3 linked regions of the Arabidopsis thaliana genome follow. The protein of the gene in region 2 binds, or shares a complex with, the protein of the main gene of each other region. Each region holds a gene or a part of one and is shown on either strand. Other genes may lie near its edges.

The links. The genes of interacting proteins can lie anywhere in the genome.
Region 1: AT5G03500 (region 2) and MED21 share a complex: the UniProt entries of both Arabidopsis thaliana proteins name them as parts of the mediator complex.
Region 3: AT5G03500 (region 2) and AT5G02850 share a complex: the UniProt entries of both Arabidopsis thaliana proteins name them as parts of the mediator complex.

Annotation. Positions count from the first base shown.
Region 1 is NC_003075.7:2,429,780-2,434,782, reverse strand, and holds MED21 (mediator 21), read right to left. Parts: upstream 2,532-5,003; 5' UTR 2,421-2,531; intron 2,139-2,420; 5' UTR 2,119-2,138; coding exon 1,828-2,118; intron 1,744-1,827; coding exon 1,692-1,743; intron 1,463-1,691; coding exon 1,386-1,462; 3' UTR 1,148-1,385; downstream 1-1,147. Other genes in the region: AT4G04775 (zinc ion binding protein), read right to left, coding at 3,111-3,428, 3,499-3,663; ABCI8 (ATP binding cassette protein 1), read left to right, coding at 4,998-5,003. UniProt on the Arabidopsis thaliana protein: Component of the Mediator complex, a coactivator involved in the regulated transcription of nearly all RNA polymerase II-dependent genes.
Region 2 is NC_003076.8:875,499-881,044, forward strand, and holds AT5G03500 (Mediator complex, subunit Med7), read right to left. Parts: upstream 2,878-5,546; 5' UTR 2,276-2,877; coding exon 2,252-2,275; exon of another isoform or gene 2,169-2,251; coding exon 2,028-2,168; intron 1,946-2,027; coding exon 1,876-1,945; intron 1,703-1,875; coding exon 1,536-1,702; intron 1,447-1,535; coding exon 1,373-1,446; intron 1,236-1,372; coding exon 1,175-1,235; 3' UTR 942-1,174; downstream 1-941. Other genes in the region: AT5G03510 (C2H2-type zinc finger family protein), read left to right, coding at 4,855-5,546. UniProt on the Arabidopsis thaliana protein: Component of the Mediator complex, a coactivator involved in the regulated transcription of nearly all RNA polymerase II-dependent genes.
Region 3 is NC_003076.8:649,578-654,910, forward strand, and holds AT5G02850 (hydroxyproline-rich glycoprotein family protein), read left to right. Parts: upstream 1-2,470; 5' UTR 2,471-2,581; coding exon 2,582-3,862; 3' UTR 3,863-4,186; downstream 4,187-5,333. Other genes in the region: LCL1 (LHY/CCA1-like 1), read left to right, coding at 27-84, 178-301, 385-543, 653-778, 857-966, 1,284-1,343, 1,585-1,635; AT5G02860 (Pentatricopeptide repeat (PPR) superfamily protein), read left to right, coding at 4,525-5,333. UniProt on the Arabidopsis thaliana protein: Component of the Mediator complex, a coactivator involved in the regulated transcription of nearly all RNA polymerase II-dependent genes.

The DNA.
Region 1 (5,003 bases), on a different chromosome or scaffold from region 2:
GGGATATAGTAGTTAGCACCAATCGTCTTTCTCTTACGTGGATTGTCTGCCACAACTTCAGCTTTAGCCACCTCTGCTACAACCACTTCTGCCACCTTTGCTACAGCACCCTCTGCTACAGCCACCTTTGCCTCAACGTCTTCCTCTTCAACAATGTCCTGTGGGTTTCGATTTACGGGTTCGATTAGTTTCAAGAGGATGCAGTCAATTCTGATAACTAGATCATCAGTTTCCAAAAGATCAAGAGGTTTTCGGTATATCATTGGTTCTTGTTTATGGTTTGGCAGGATGTATCAGGTTCTACTAGCTGCAGGGGATTCAGAAGGTGCCAAGGCATTGATATAAAAAATTCCAATAGATGATAAAGATGTACAACATATCATCGAAGAAAGTCGGTCTGCATTTTCTCAAGCACCCAACAAGAAGAAACCTAAAAAGAATATGAGTGTTTCATCAACAAACTACCGTAAAACATCTATAAGTTAATATTGTTTGGGACCGAGAAAATTAATTAATTTATGGATAAATTAATAATTATCAATTTATAAAGAGATTTTACAAATTTTATAATTTCTTACAAAAATTTAATTTTAAAAGTGATCTTTTCTTTATAATCAATAATCTTTCTTAATCCGATTATAAGTAGAAAACAATTATTAAGTTTAAAAAAAAAATACAATTTTTTTTTTTCACATAGTAAAAGTATTAGAATTGAACTTTACAAAAAATTAATAAAAATTAAAGAAAAACAATAGTAGAGTCATATTTCACTAAATATTTTACATATAATATTTATATAAATATATATATTGGTAAATTTATACAATTGTTAATTTATAATATTGATCGGACTGGCTAAAGTTTTCTTTTCATCCTAAAGCTTCATCACGCAGACAAAAGATTGTTGGACTCTATACAAGTCTTGTGAGAGAGCGCAAGAAGGATGATGAGTTAGGATATCTTCACATGCTTGAGTACAAATACACAATCAAGATCCGGTTTTGGACCACAACTTATGGACTGGTCATTTCTTTTCAGCAACTTGGATTGAATGTGACAGATACCAGAGTTCATAGTAATTTGACCATCATAGTAATTTGACCAACACTGCCCGGAGAATCAAACATGATGTGTCAATCATGGCCTGTAATTGTGAAAATGATAAAGTGGATTCTCTGAGATTGTAATCAGACAGGTCAAAAAAGTGTAAGGTTAAAATAATGGTTCTGTTGTTGTGAGCTAACTAACATTCTTGTAATTGCTTCTACAACAATTTTTTGGTGAACCAACTTAGAATAGATATTCCTTATGAACCTAAAAGATAATTGTTGCTGAACCAAATCATATAGTTTCTAAATCAGCTCGACAAAAGGTAAACAAGCATTTCATTCAGGTTTCTTCATGTTCAGGCAATTGTCAGCAGCTTGTCCAAACAGCTCTTGTACTTGCTTTAGCTCCTTCTCTGTCACAAACAAGGTCACACCATTAACATCAGCTCAATCGTCAGAGGCAGTTGCAAGGGAAAACAAAAATTCCAAATTCTAGAACCACTAAAGATAACATCTAACCATAGTGCGTGTATCAACAAGAAAGTATACAAATTGAAATTTGAAGTGCATAATGAATCTGCTCCAGTTACAGACAGATAAGACACACCAACAATGAAGTGAAAACCTAAGATCGTTTTTTACCTGCAGCCTCTAGTTGCTTTTGGAGTTCTTGACCAACAAGATCATTTTCCACCTGAAGAAAAAACAGGACAAAGCGGTTAGACAAATAGAAGTAATCGGATTCAAGAACTCGACATATCGGTGTGACTTGTTTGACCTGGAGTTCAGCGATTCTTTTGAGCTGAGCACCTTCACCACCTTCTGACAAAGGAAGTGCAGCAACCAAAGCATCAAACTGTTTAGCAGCCTTAACTAAGCCAGCACTGAGCTGCTTAGGTTGCTCAGGAAAAGGCGTAGCATCATCAGTAACCGTAGTTGTAGCGGGTGGTTCAGGATAATTAGGTGAAAGCTGGACTGGTGGTGCATCCCTTTGCAGTGTCCCAAAAGCATTGAAAGTGATAGCAGCAATCGTATTCACTTGTTCTTGCAACTGTGAGATTATATCCATCTTCCAAAACCTTAAAAGACCTTGAACAAGTATAAAATTTACAGTAATCAATCACATATTAGACTTTTAACATATACTCAAAAGCAAGATATAACGTTCAGAGAGGATCTAGGAGATTCAAATGGCACAAAATTGGTGGTCAATTCCTGAATTTATCAAACAAGATTCTCAACAAAACTAGTGCCAAAGCATAAATCACTTAAAACCAGTTGGATTTCAGAGAGGATCAAAATGGCGAATCCTCAGGGAAAAAATTGACCTAATCGATTTAACGAAGCATAAGCTTTAACGAAGAGACTTACCCGTCGACAAGATTTCTCCGGCGACGCAGAGTCTGTTGGGTGTGGCAACGACAGATAATCGCTGCGAATTGGGGCGTTTTGTTGTTCTTAATAAACTTCGTTCTGCGTTTTGGGTTTGGGCTCGAAGATTTTTAAAATGGGCTTTTAAGGTGGCCTTTCCTTTGGATTTTTGGGCCCTAATTCCATAGAATTCGTAAGGAACGATTTCTGTTGTTTCTTTAAACCTACTGCTTTAATTAATTGACAACTAATTAAAAAAAAAAACACTGAAGTAGAATTGGGTGGCTGATTTTTGAGCCATAAACTATTTCGATTCTCAGCTTTCACCCCCGGACTTTTGGGCCCTTAAATTTTCACCATCAACTTTCATATTCCTCAAAATTACATCATCTACTTTCGAATTCATGCTTAAACATACATTTCCAATTGAACCATTCATTTAACCGGGATTAACCACAAATCTGCGTTTACTGTACCGCGATTGCGATTAACCTGACTAATACCCAGACCCGTTAAGAAAACGACGTCGTTTTCATTTCGTTTAACTCATCAAAAAGAGAAAGAAAACGACGTCGTTTTCATTCTTCTTCTTCTGCAAAATCGATTTGGTCGATTAGGGTTCTTCATTCGACAATTTTATAACAGAGACTAATCCAATACTACAATTTCACTCCAAAACCTCAACAACACCTACACTCTTCCCCAAAGCCATACAATAGATGCAACAATCACAACAGCAACCCCTACAGTCTTCAAAGCTGACTTTGCCATAACATGTCCTAGCTCTTCCACATTCTCCTTCATGGTCAAGAGTTCACCCTCCATCTTCTTAATCAGCTCTTCCTCCATCTGCTTAGCGTTTTTATTAAGGAGCTCCATATTAGCCATCACGTTCATTCTGAGGTCACTAATATTCTCTACAACTCTCTTACACTTCTCATTTACCATCTTAATTTCGTCCAAGAGAGCTTCATCAACCCATTTGAACAAGTGCTCTTCATTTTCTCTCTATAAAACATAATTTCCAATCATTTACTCCTTCAATCAATCAAATATATCACAAAATCGAAATGTGTACCTTCATTGCTATCGCACAACGGTAGAATCTCCGGTATGGATTCTCCTTTGTTTTCGATGTGAATGTAATGATCTCTTCTCCACACCAACATTTCGAGGGGACACCAGGAGGACAGACACGAAATCCTGAACTGGAAGCGGATGAGTAGTAGCTGTTGGTGCTCATTTTCTTATAAAATTGTCGAATGAAGAACCCTAATCGACCAAATCGATTTTGCAGAAGAAGAAGAATGAAAACGACGTCGTTTTCTTTCTCTTTTTGATGAGTTAAACGAAATGAAAACGACGTCGTTTTCTTAACGGGTCTGGGTATTAGTCGGGTTAATCGCAATCGCGGTACAGTAAACGCGGATTTGTGGTTAATCCCGGTTAAATGAATGGTTCAATTGGAAATGTATGTTTAAGCATGAATCCGAAAGTAGATGATGTAATTTTGGGAATATGAAAGTTGATGGTGGAAATTTAAGGGCCCAAAAGTCCGGGGGTGAAAGCTGAGAATCGAAATAGTTTATGGCTCGAAAATCAGCTAACCCAAGTAGAATCGATACTGATTGTGTCTAGTGCTTTAATTATCTCTAGTAGATCTTCAAGGTTTATGCCTTGTCCCTAGTACATTTTGCTATCTCGGTCTGGTGGGTGAGGTGTGATGGTGTTTGTACTTATGTCTCTGGTTTCAGCGGCTTCTTGCTTTCCTCTCTGTCGATTTACTATTAGTTTTGACTTCGGTGTAAAATCTATCCGATCTTATTGGTGTTTCCGGCGTTCACATTTTTTAGGAGAAGTTTAGGTCTTATTTTTCCCATAGTTTTTTATTTTCTTTTGAATTTTGTCTCTTGATTCAATTTCGTTGGTTTAAAATGTTTCCTTATATATGTTTTTGGTTTTACTTCCTTTTTTTCAGCTAAGTTTCTCAAAATATTCCGTTGGTCTGTTGGCTTATGTATTTCAACTTGTATTCTACTTTAGTTTCTAATATAATTCAGATGAGAAAAAAAAAGAATTAAAACTGATTTCAGTGTACCAAACTAAACTGAAATGAATGAACCAACAAATTTTAAAATAAAATATTATTAAGTTTTTGAAATAAAAGATCAAACTAATTTTTTTTTTCATTAACAAAAACAAGAAACCAACCCGTAAATCGGATTATAAAATATCTAATATCTTTGTTTGTTTTGTCCAAGTATAAAAAATATCTAATATCTAAAAGAGATTTTTAACAAATAAAGAAGAGATCAACGTTATTTTTTTTTTATAATTAGTTAGTGGAAAACGTATGTGGTTTATAATTGAGCTGAAAAGTGAAAATCCAACAAAAAAATCGTCTCGTGGCTGACACGAGACTATCTTCAATCTACGGCTCAGAAAATTCCATAAATATTAACATTTCATCTCTTCTTCATTTTTTTCCTAATCGTTGTTTTTTTTCTAACACACGACTCCAAAAAAAAAAAAAAAAACAATCTTCTTTTACTTCTCCTAAGAGCCACACCAACAACAATGGCG
Region 2 (5,546 bases):
TCGTGTGTATGAGTTACGAACAAACTGTTGGGCCTTGAATTTAGTTCTGGCCTACGTTTAAGCCCATATGGTTCTAATCTTCTTCTTTTTTTATAAGTTGAAGCTTGTAGTACTTGGTAATGTAGCGCATCAATAATAAATTGTGGAGCATAAAAATGATAATAAAATGACTATTGTTTGATCTTGGAGTCCAAACAAACTGGATATCTTCAAACCGATGTCGCCAGGCTTTTGCTTCCCGAATCCAAAATTAAGACTCTTCCCGTTGACCAACTGAATGACTTGTTTAAAATCACCTTCAAAGATAGCTTTGGATCCATTTTTGTTAAAAATTAGAAAACAAGGTTGCATTGTAATACCGAAAGCAGATAACGTTAATAGATTAAGCTTACTACTGTTTTTTTCTAACATCCAGAGAATGACATATCATACATGATCAAGGCAGGTGATGATTACTGAGCTTACTTACTTTTAACATGCAAAGACAAAAACAAACAAAGGTAAATACATTATAAAAAAACAAAGAGGTTCGTCTCCTCCTAATTCTCCATCTCCCTCCTAATTCTCCATCTCCATCCTCTTTCTCCTGTCCATATCCATCTTAATCTTCATCTCCATCCTCTTGTGAAGAGAAATAGAGTGAGTAAGAGGAGAGTCCATAAGGAGAAGAAGATTACTTTGATGGCGGATTCGTCCATGCTGATGATAAATTGACAAGACCGACTGCTAGGGTTCCAAAGATATTTGACAGGATTTAGCTTTGAACAAGGTTAATTTTTTTTTGTTCAACTATTTTTTGTTGATTCCCTTATAAAGCTGTTGTTGTTGTTCAGATACTTACGTGTAGTTACGAACAAACTGTCGGGTCTTCAATTTAGTTTAGCCCTGCGTTAAGCCCATATTGGTCTAATCTTCTTATGAATCCGTTATGGTTATAATAGTTCCCGTTAAGCCGAAATTGTAATAATAAATGTTGAACCGCACTAACCGGCGGAACTAAATGCCGGTTCACGGGTAACATTGAATAAAGATGATATAGGCTTTACTTGTTGAATCATGAGATTGCACACGTCTGTCTCTCTCTCTCACACACACAGGATCAATTAAAAAAAGTTTCGAGGGCATAGGTTATTAGCGCTAATTTACACAAAATGGGATTAACAAAAAGTATACTTTATTGACCATCTAAAGTGACGAAAGCATCCTTAAGAAGTCCTTGTGCTTCTTCTCTCCTCCTGCACACAACCAAAACATCAAACGGACCCATAAGAACAACCAACAAAGCTTCTGAAGAATCTTTAAACAGATGATAGATTGATATTAAATTATTAACACACCATAAAGACAGAAAACTTAAGTAGCATATACAAACCTCTTAATGTCTTCCACAGCTTGTTTCCTCTGTTGAATTTGAAGTTCCATAATGTGAATAAGCGTTGCTCTCGCCTATACAACAAGAGAAAGATCAAAACGATGAAAAAACAAAAAGTGTTGAAACCATGTTGTAATTAATCGAAAGATGAGAGCTTCTTTACTTGGTGAGGCCTCAAGGAATTGAGAAGGTGATGCAAGTTCTTGAAGATTGAAGAAATTTCACCAATTCTCTTCGCATATTGAGAAGGTCTGTCAACAAGAACATCAGCAAGCTCCAATATATGTAACTGTAGTTCTCTATTCAGTGACCTGAGTTCCTTCTTGTAATCTACACACAAAGATATTTGAACTCAAAGAGGTACTTTCAAAGAACATAACTTGCAAATGAACTCATGTAATAAGTTTGATTCCAATGAAGGGAAGAACCAAAAACCATACTCTAGACAGCCAATAGCAATTGCATTTTGAGTTTGATTTCACAGAGTTAGGAGAATGACATACCAAGATTAGAATCTTTTGGATAAAGTTGAGGCACTCCTTGTTCTTCTAAGCTTGGAAGAACATCTTCAGTCTACTAACCAAAAAAATTGAAAATTGCTAAAAACACATAAAGATGAAGATTTTAAAGAGGGGGAAATGTGGAGGAGACTCACAGTATAGTTGCCTCCAAAACAGACGTAGGTGCCTTCAATCGGAGGAGGAGGTTCAGGAGCAGAATCAGTGTTTTCTGAGAAATCCTTGTAGAGTCTGTAATATGGAGGAGGAGGTGGATATGTAGCTGTAGCCATTATTCTCTACATATCCAAATCAAAAACTAAGCAAAATCAGTAACAGATTCCTAAAATTAGGGTTTCTAATCAAAAACAAATCCGTCTACCGCCATAAAACAATCTGTTCTCATTAGAATACAACTATGTCATCACTACCAAATAACTCTGCGACCACTAGAAACTAATCTGTCATCACTAGAAACTAATCTGTCATCGTCACGTTGAAGTAGCCGCCACCACCACAACCGTGTTATTCCTAAATCACCACCAATTTGTCCAAAATCGTCAAATGCTTAACAGTAGATTTCAATTGATTCATGAGGAAAAAAGAAAGGTCAATACAAAAAATCCAGTGGCCACAAATGGGTAGGGAGACGAATGAGTTGGTGGCGACAAGGAGAATCTGAGGGAGAGAAATAAAAAAATCCCTTTCACGGGAAGCATAAAAGACAGAGTGAAAATAATAGAACTCACTGGAGATTCGCCAGAGAGATGGCTCGGCGGAGAATTCACGCAGCCGGAGAAGACGATCGGAAGAAGACACGCTCACCAGAGAAAGCAAATCGAGATTTGTTTCCTCTCTTTTAGTTGGGCCTTTAATTTAGTTCAGGCCTGCTTTAAGCCCATATATTCCTAATCTTCTTATTCCTCGTGAAGCTTAAAACGTATTTCTAGAGCCGTTGAGGGATTTGCTATATGGGGGAAGACTCTGTTCCACCCACCTATATCAGAATTCAGAACCATTTTATATGCTTCAAATGACAAAAGAAAAATGTTTTTAAAATATTGGAATTCAATTGTGCAAGTTTCGGTATAATTTGTTTAGGTGATCCTTGCAAGTTGCAACAACTACTTAACGGTTTTTGAGAAGCCTTGTAAAAAAGGTTTTGTTAGGATGGTGATGATGAATGTATGATGGGTGACGACTAATTATGTTTATGATTTTATTTATTTATTTATAAAGTATATGCTTTGCTTAGGTTGAGTAGTGAAGCTAGCTAGTTGGCAAGTAATGGCTTCTTTTGGCGGCCAAGCAATTCTCTATCTCTCTTTCACACACACAATCCTCGACGCCAAGACTTAAATCAATTCCTCCTGATTTATTCATTTTAAAATTGTGATGATACTAGCTTCACAATACACTCAAAAATATTCTTCTTAATGATCTATTGTATGTATAGTAACACGTTAGCAAAAGATAATCATTGAGAGCCAAAGACAACTAATGTGTATAGAGTTGAATGAGTAAAAGTTGGATATCAATCCAGCTCTAAGAAACTCATTATGTAGAATGAATATTAAAAAAACATGTGTTTCTTGAATTTTATAAATTGCTGTCACCGAGTTTATTAGTATACTATACTACAAAGACCTAGACTACAGTTACAAACTACGATAAGGGAGGTTACTTCATCGAATACATATTATTAGCTAATCACAAGATTAATAATGGTTTGATCAAATAATTGGATAACCAAAATAAAAATCAAAGTTTCTTAGAAAGAGGCGCAAACATAGGGAGTGATATTATATATTTAATTCGTTTTAGCTAATATCATTATAACTAAATATTGTATACATAACTAGAATCATGATTCATAATTGTGTGTTGTGTAATTGTGGGTTGGCTCAACTGCACATGAACTGCTCGACCCCAAAATTCGATTGCCTTTTACTTTCCAATTAATTAACTTAATTATTTAATCAGCAACTTAAGTGTACATATATCCGCAATGATTAGTAGTATTAAGAAACAAAAACAGAATTCGACGTATTTTCAAGTTAAATTTGTACTTTAGTAGCTTTTATATATAATAGTTGGTTTCAAATCTTTAATGTAATTTGTTACAAAACGTAATAAGTTTGCAGGAATTTATAATATGCTTGAATTGTGTGTGTTGTGGTACTGTGTTTCGTGTTGAAACTACTTGTGGATGACTCAAGCCATCAATATAAAATTATTTATAAAGTTTTAGGATTTTAGTTAGTGATAATGTGAAATCAAAGGAAAAAAAATCAATAAATTGAGTGGCATATTTAGAATACGCAATCCAGTTTGATTCTTCTTAATATAATACATTACATTCCAAGTGTCAAAATTGTAGTTCATTTTATTAATAAGAAAAAATGGTATATGTAGAATGACACCTTCTTGAACAGAAAACACAGATTTAATTTCATTTTCAGAAAGAAAATAAAATAACATCTTCTAAGATTAGTGTTGACATTGAATCCACATTTTTGTTACTTTAGCTATAATGATGTGTGTCTTTTGAAATTATAAGGATGCTTATGAGTATTTAATAAGTAAAATACTAGTATTTTTTTTTATGTGATTCATAAGACAAGCAAAACAAAAGTTAACCAAAAAAAGAGAAAATCATTTAAAAAAAATTGAAAGGAAAAAAATAAAAACAAGAAGAGAACAACAAGTGGTTCCAGGCTTGCAAACCAAAACTTCCAGAAAGGAATCCTTCACCAAAAGTTATTTTGGGTTTGCTTCTTTTCTCATCTTTTCTCTTACCCATTACATTATATATACACACAATACTATTGTGTGTATAAACAAATACAATCACATACAAATATATATAAATACTTAGACATATAAACCAAACCCACCAAACACTCTTTGATACTTCTCTCCATATATACATATACGACCTCTTGTGTTCTTGAAATACAGAGAGCAAATAAAAAACGGAGGATCATGACAAGTGTTCTTGAGGAGAGTGGAGACCACGCGCGTCTTGTTCTCCTCATCAAGGGCAAACGCACCAAACGTCAGCGTTCTGCGTCTCCTCTTATGATGAACGCTGCTGCAGTATCCAGCGTTTGTAGCGGTGAACGATCATCAGTGGAGGTAAGAGAAGAAGAAGCTGCTGGTGAAGTAGAATTCCAAGGAGCTACCGATGAAGACGAAGATATGGCGAATTGTCTGATCTTGTTGTCGCAAGGACATCAAGCAAAGAGCAGCGACGATCATTTGTCGATGCAGAGAATGGGTTTCTTTAGCAACAAGAAACCGGTGGCTTCTCTAGGGTTAGGGCTAGACGGTGTTTACCAGTGCAAAACGTGTGATAAAAGCTTCCATTCGTTCCAAGCGCTAGGAGGGCACAGGGCTAGTCACAAGAAGCCAAAACTTGGAGCTAGCGTTTTCAAATGCGTCGAGAAGAAAACGGCGTCTGCGTCTACGGTTGAAACAGTGGAAGCTGGAGCCGTAGGAAGCTTTCTTTCCCTACAAGTGACTAGTAGTGATGGTAGCAAGAAACCGGAGAAAACACATGAATGTTCAATCTGCAAGGCCGAGTTTTCTTCAGGACAAGCCTTAGGAGGACATATGAGGAGACATAGAGGTTTAACAATAAACGCAAACGCTACTTCAGCAATCAAAACAGCGAT
Region 3 (5,333 bases), 230 kb from region 2:
TCCTGACAATTTTCTCGTGTCCTTAGGTTTGATCGTGACTGGAAAAAGATAGAAGATTTTGTTGGTTCAAAGACAGTTATTCAGGTTTGAGATCAGCTTCTTTGGATTTTTGGTTTAATATACAACCTTGGCACATTTCCCCACTCAATCATCCTGTGCCTGTTTGATTTACTGCAGATCAGGAGCCATGCCCAAAAATACTTTCTAAAGGTCCAAAAAAATGGGACTTTAGCACATGTTCCACCCCCTAGGCCTAAGCGCAAAGCTGCTCATCCATATCCTCAAAAGGCATCGAAAAATGGTTAGTTCTATTGTAATAGATATTACTTTGGGTTGACAGATGGAGTAACATGTAATCAATCTGATTTCAACTCAAATCTGCAGCTCAAATGTCGCTTCACGTTTCCATGTCCTTTCCTACTCAAATAAATAACCTGCCTGGATATACTCCATGGGATGATGATACATCTGCATTGTTAAACATTGCTGTAAGTGGGGTTATTCCACCAGAAGATGAACTTGATACTCTTTGTGGAGCAGAAGGCATGCGTTCTCATCTGTACTCAGTTTTTATATTTTGCTTTGGTAGTCTAGTCACTCTATCTTCTGAAGTTTTCATATGCTAAATGCGGCTTACATATCATTGTTTCAGTTGATGTTGGATCAAATGACATGATAAGTGAAACTAGTCCTTCAGCATCTGGTATCGGAAGCTCAAGCAGAACACTATCAGATTCTAAGGGTTTGAGACTGGCGAAACAAGCTCCCTCAATGCATGGTAATTATCTGAACAATTGAGGGACTATTTCTTAGTTTTCATTTTGTGGTGGACGCTGTTGTAATGGTTGCTTTGCAGGTCTTCCTGATTTTGCTGAGGTTTATAACTTCATTGGGAGTGTGTTCGATCCTGACAGCAAAGGCCGCATGAAAAAGCTCAAGGAAATGGATCCTATAAATTTCGAAACTGTGAGTTGGAGCTTTACTTGCCTTTAGATTAACTGATATGTGTGTTGCAGCATATCAATCATTTAGTCTTCTTCTTTGAGTTCCCGAATAAATTCAGCTGTGTGAGAAGATAAATATAAAGATCAGTACTTGCAATATATAGATTCACGAGTTGGAAACACCAAAAAGCCAAAGTACCATGATTCTATGGAGATGTTGGTCAAATAATGGGATTGTTACAACCATGAGTCAGTTTTAGGTGTCATGGTACCTATTTGTAGCTGTCAGTGATTGTTCTTTTTCCTAGTATCCGTCACTAATCACAGTTTTTCTTGCAGGTTTTGCTGTTGATGAGAAACCTCACAGTGAACTTGTCAAACCCTGACTTTGAACCTACTGTAAGTTATAATTTTATCATTACTTCTGTGCTCGTTGAGTATGTGAGGCACATTTGTCTTTTCGTGATAAGAATGAGTGAGAAAAAGTCTCTAACAGCTAACAAACCTACTTACTATCTGCCTTGAAGTTTAACTATAGAAATTAAGACTAGTTCGCCTTTAGTGTGTTATGTTTTTAACCGTTCCAATGATTAAATGAGGATTGTTGTGCTCTATGAGATATAATCTAACCATAATTTAGTCTGAATATGTTGATGCTGCAGAGGAAGGTCATGAACACTTAAGCTCTTAGCTGTTTGTGCACTCAACAAGTTATATATCTTCTTGACGACTTCTTGCTCGCAACAACTCTCTACCAGCTATCAAGTAAGTTTGGTGTTATACCGCATCCCTCCGACACCAATATAAAACACTATAATAAGAACGTTCGCATTGACTTAATAGATTATATCGAAACCTAACACCACAGTTCACTAAGGTTTTCACCTTAATGTTTCTCATTTGTTACTGTAGTTATTGTCTCACATGATCGAACGTCATAATAAGAATGATCTGTAGATCATAACTGTTATATTCTCAGCGTTGCTGCTATTATTCTGATTACACTACCCTTAAGGTCTTAAGAATATTGCTCTTACGGTCTACCAAATTGCTATTGATCTCTGTATATGGTGGATTGTGTCAGATGCATTCTACGGTTGTTGTCTGAGGAGAACATAACTGAGTCGTCGTCACAAACAAGAGGAACATATGCAGTTTCGGTCAGAACCAGTCGTGTGAATGGTAGATATATGTATGTGTGTGTAGAAAATGGTTACCAATTGTATCTTCTTTTTGATAATTATTTTTTCATGCCTTTTGTAATATGTAAGTTTCTTTACCTCGTTCTCTGATTGGTTATTTTCTGGTTATCTGTTTAACCAAAAGCTATGTAACACAGTAGCAAATTGTTACTTAACTCGGAAGTGAGATACATAACTCTGTTGTATTGCACTTGTATCAAGCGTTAACGTCCATGATTCGTCTCTGTTATTGTCAATAACAATTGTTCGAAAGCCAGGTTAATGGTAATTAGGAAATTGAACCGTATCGGTATGGTTTTAGCGGGTCTTTAGACTTTTCTAATTGATACTGAGGGTTTGCGAATTTTGTATAAACAGTTGAACACTAAACAGAGAAGAGAAGCTTCGTCTCTTTAATTATCTTCGATTTAAGAGATTCTTTCGCCGTCGGCGAAGATGCTACAGCATCAGATCGTACAATCTCCGGCGAGATTAGGGTTAACAGGTCCTGGCTCTCCTTCCGTACAAAATCCGACGCCTACTCGTCATGGCCATCCAACCTCTTCTTCATCTTCCCAATCTCAGCACCAACAGATCCAACAACAGCCTAATCTACTTCCTTCCTCCACCGTCGCCGCCGCTTCCTCAGCCTCAGCTTCGGCGGCTGTTTCATCCTCCGCCTTGCTATCGCTCCTTCCTCCATTACCGCGAGCTCAAGCTCTTCTCCAGCAGATGGCGGTTTTGACATCTAAGCTCTTCGACGTCTCTCCCAATCGAGCTATCTGGCTCTCAGCTTTCCGTGGCTCTCTCCCTTCGTTCCTCTCCTCACACTCGTTACCACCTCCGCCGCCGCTTGAAAACCCTAGTCCTTCATCCACGAAGGAGATCCTCTCTCAATTCAATTCCCTCCAGACTCAGCTCTTCGAAGCCGTTACAGAGCTTCAAGAGATCCTCGATCTGCAAGACGCGAAGCAGAAGGTGGCGCGTGAGATCAAATCCAAAGATTCATCTCTTCTCGCTTTCGCTAACAAACTCAAGGATGCAGAACGTGTTCTCGATATGCTTGTTGACGACTACTCCGATTACCGCAAACCAAAACGAAGCAAAATTGAAGAAGATGACGAAGACAATGATAATGAGTCTTCTTCTTCTTCAACCACAGTTTCGTCTCAGCTCAAGTTAAAGGACATATTAGCTTACGCTCACAAGATTAGCTACACCACATTTGCTCCGCCGGAATTCGGTGCAGGGCAAGCACCTCTCCGTGGTGCATTACCACCAGCTCCACAAGACGAACAAATGAGAGCTTCCCAGCTCTACACTTTCGCTGATCTTGATATCGGTCTGCCGAAAACAGTAGAAAACATGGAGAAGAAGGTTGAAGCACTGATTGAGCCACCACCACCACCAGAAGCTATGGATATATCTGCTATTCACAACCTGCTTCCGCCGAATATCGCAGTTCCTTCAGGATGGAAACCAGGAATGCCAGTCGAATTGCCTAGAGATTTACCATTGCCACCTCCTGGATGGAAACCAGGCGACCCAGTTGTGTTACCGCCACTGGAGTCAATTGCTGCACCTAGAGCAGAGGATCATCAACATATGAGACCTTCTCAGGGACTCCACAGACCGCCTGATGTCATACAGGTCCGAGCTGTTCAACTTGACATTTTGGAGGATGATGATAGCAGTGATTACAGCAGCGATGATGCAAGCTCAGATGATGAGGATTAATCAACATTGTGATTGATGGTTCTCTGTAAGGTAATGATTTGACCAATGTTACTGCTAATTCTTGATCAAGTTTGATTTTCTACTTGGTTTCGTTTTGTTTAGCAGTGCCTTTATGTGGATAGATGTTAGTATATGCTTCATCGTTATCAGTATCTTTGATGTATCAAAGTTGTTTCTTACGAAAACCCTGGATTCTAATTCAGTTTACAGAATTATTGGTTATCTTTTTTCCAGAATCATTCTTTAGCTTCAAATTTCAAATTATTAGTAAAATTCAGAATGTTCAACTATTGGAGTTATGCAACTTGACATTTTGGATCGATCTCTCTATACGACAAAGTAAAATCCCTCTTAGGTCATACATACATATCAGAGGCTCTTTCTGCCCATTTCTTTATTGTACAGTTTATTGTTCCATTTGGGCTTCTAATAATATAATGGGTTGACAAAATAAGTAGTAGCCCATTTAGATCTAACCTGTTGAATCTGGACTAGCCACGTGGTCGAATATAATTGTAGGGAAATAAAACTAAAATTGTGTTCTTGGAACAAAAAAATATAATAAAAAAAATCTGACAAAAATATCCATTCATTTCTCTTCTTCTTTCACTCTCGGTTGCCTCCTGGTTCTTTTCTAGTTTCTACTACTACTACTACCTCTAATGGCGGACAAGCTAGCTCTTCCTCTTCTCCTTCCCTGCACTCCTTCCTCTAAACCTTATTCTCACGACCAAAACCACCATATCTCTCGGACGCCTTTTCTTACTACGTCTCTTTCGTCACCACCTCCTCCGCCTGTAGAGCCTCTCCTCCACGATGTTTTCCTTCACCAGAACCCTAATTCCAGACAACCCATCAGCTCTCAAACATCTAGAAACCGTAACCGGACTCGAATTGGCAAGTCACGTGACCCTAACCTCGGTAAACCTTGGTCTTACCATGGTCTTTCTCCACAAGGTCAGCAAGTTCTTCGTTCCCTCATCGAACCCAATTTTGATTCCGGTCAATTAGATTCTGTACTCTCTGAGCTATTCGAGCCTTTTAAGGATAAACCAGAGTCTACCTCGTCGGAGTTACTAGCTTTTCTTAAAGGATTAGGATTTCATAAGAAATTCGATTTGGCTCTGCGTGCTTTTGATTGGTTTATGAAGCAAAAGGATTATCAATCCATGTTGGATAACTCTGTTGTTGCTATAATCATCAGTATGCTAGGTAAAGAAGGCAGAGTATCTTCCGCTGCAAATATGTTCAATGGTTTGCAGGAAGACGGGTTTTCGCTTGATGTCTACTCTTATACTTCGTTGATATCAGCGTTTGCTAATAGCGGAAGGTATAGGGAAGCTGTAAATGTGTTCAAGAAGATGGAGGAAGATGGTTGTAAACCGACTTTGATAACGTATAATGTTATCTTGAATGTGTTTGGGAAAATGGGTACTCCTTGGAATAAGATTACGTCTCTTGTTGAGAAGAT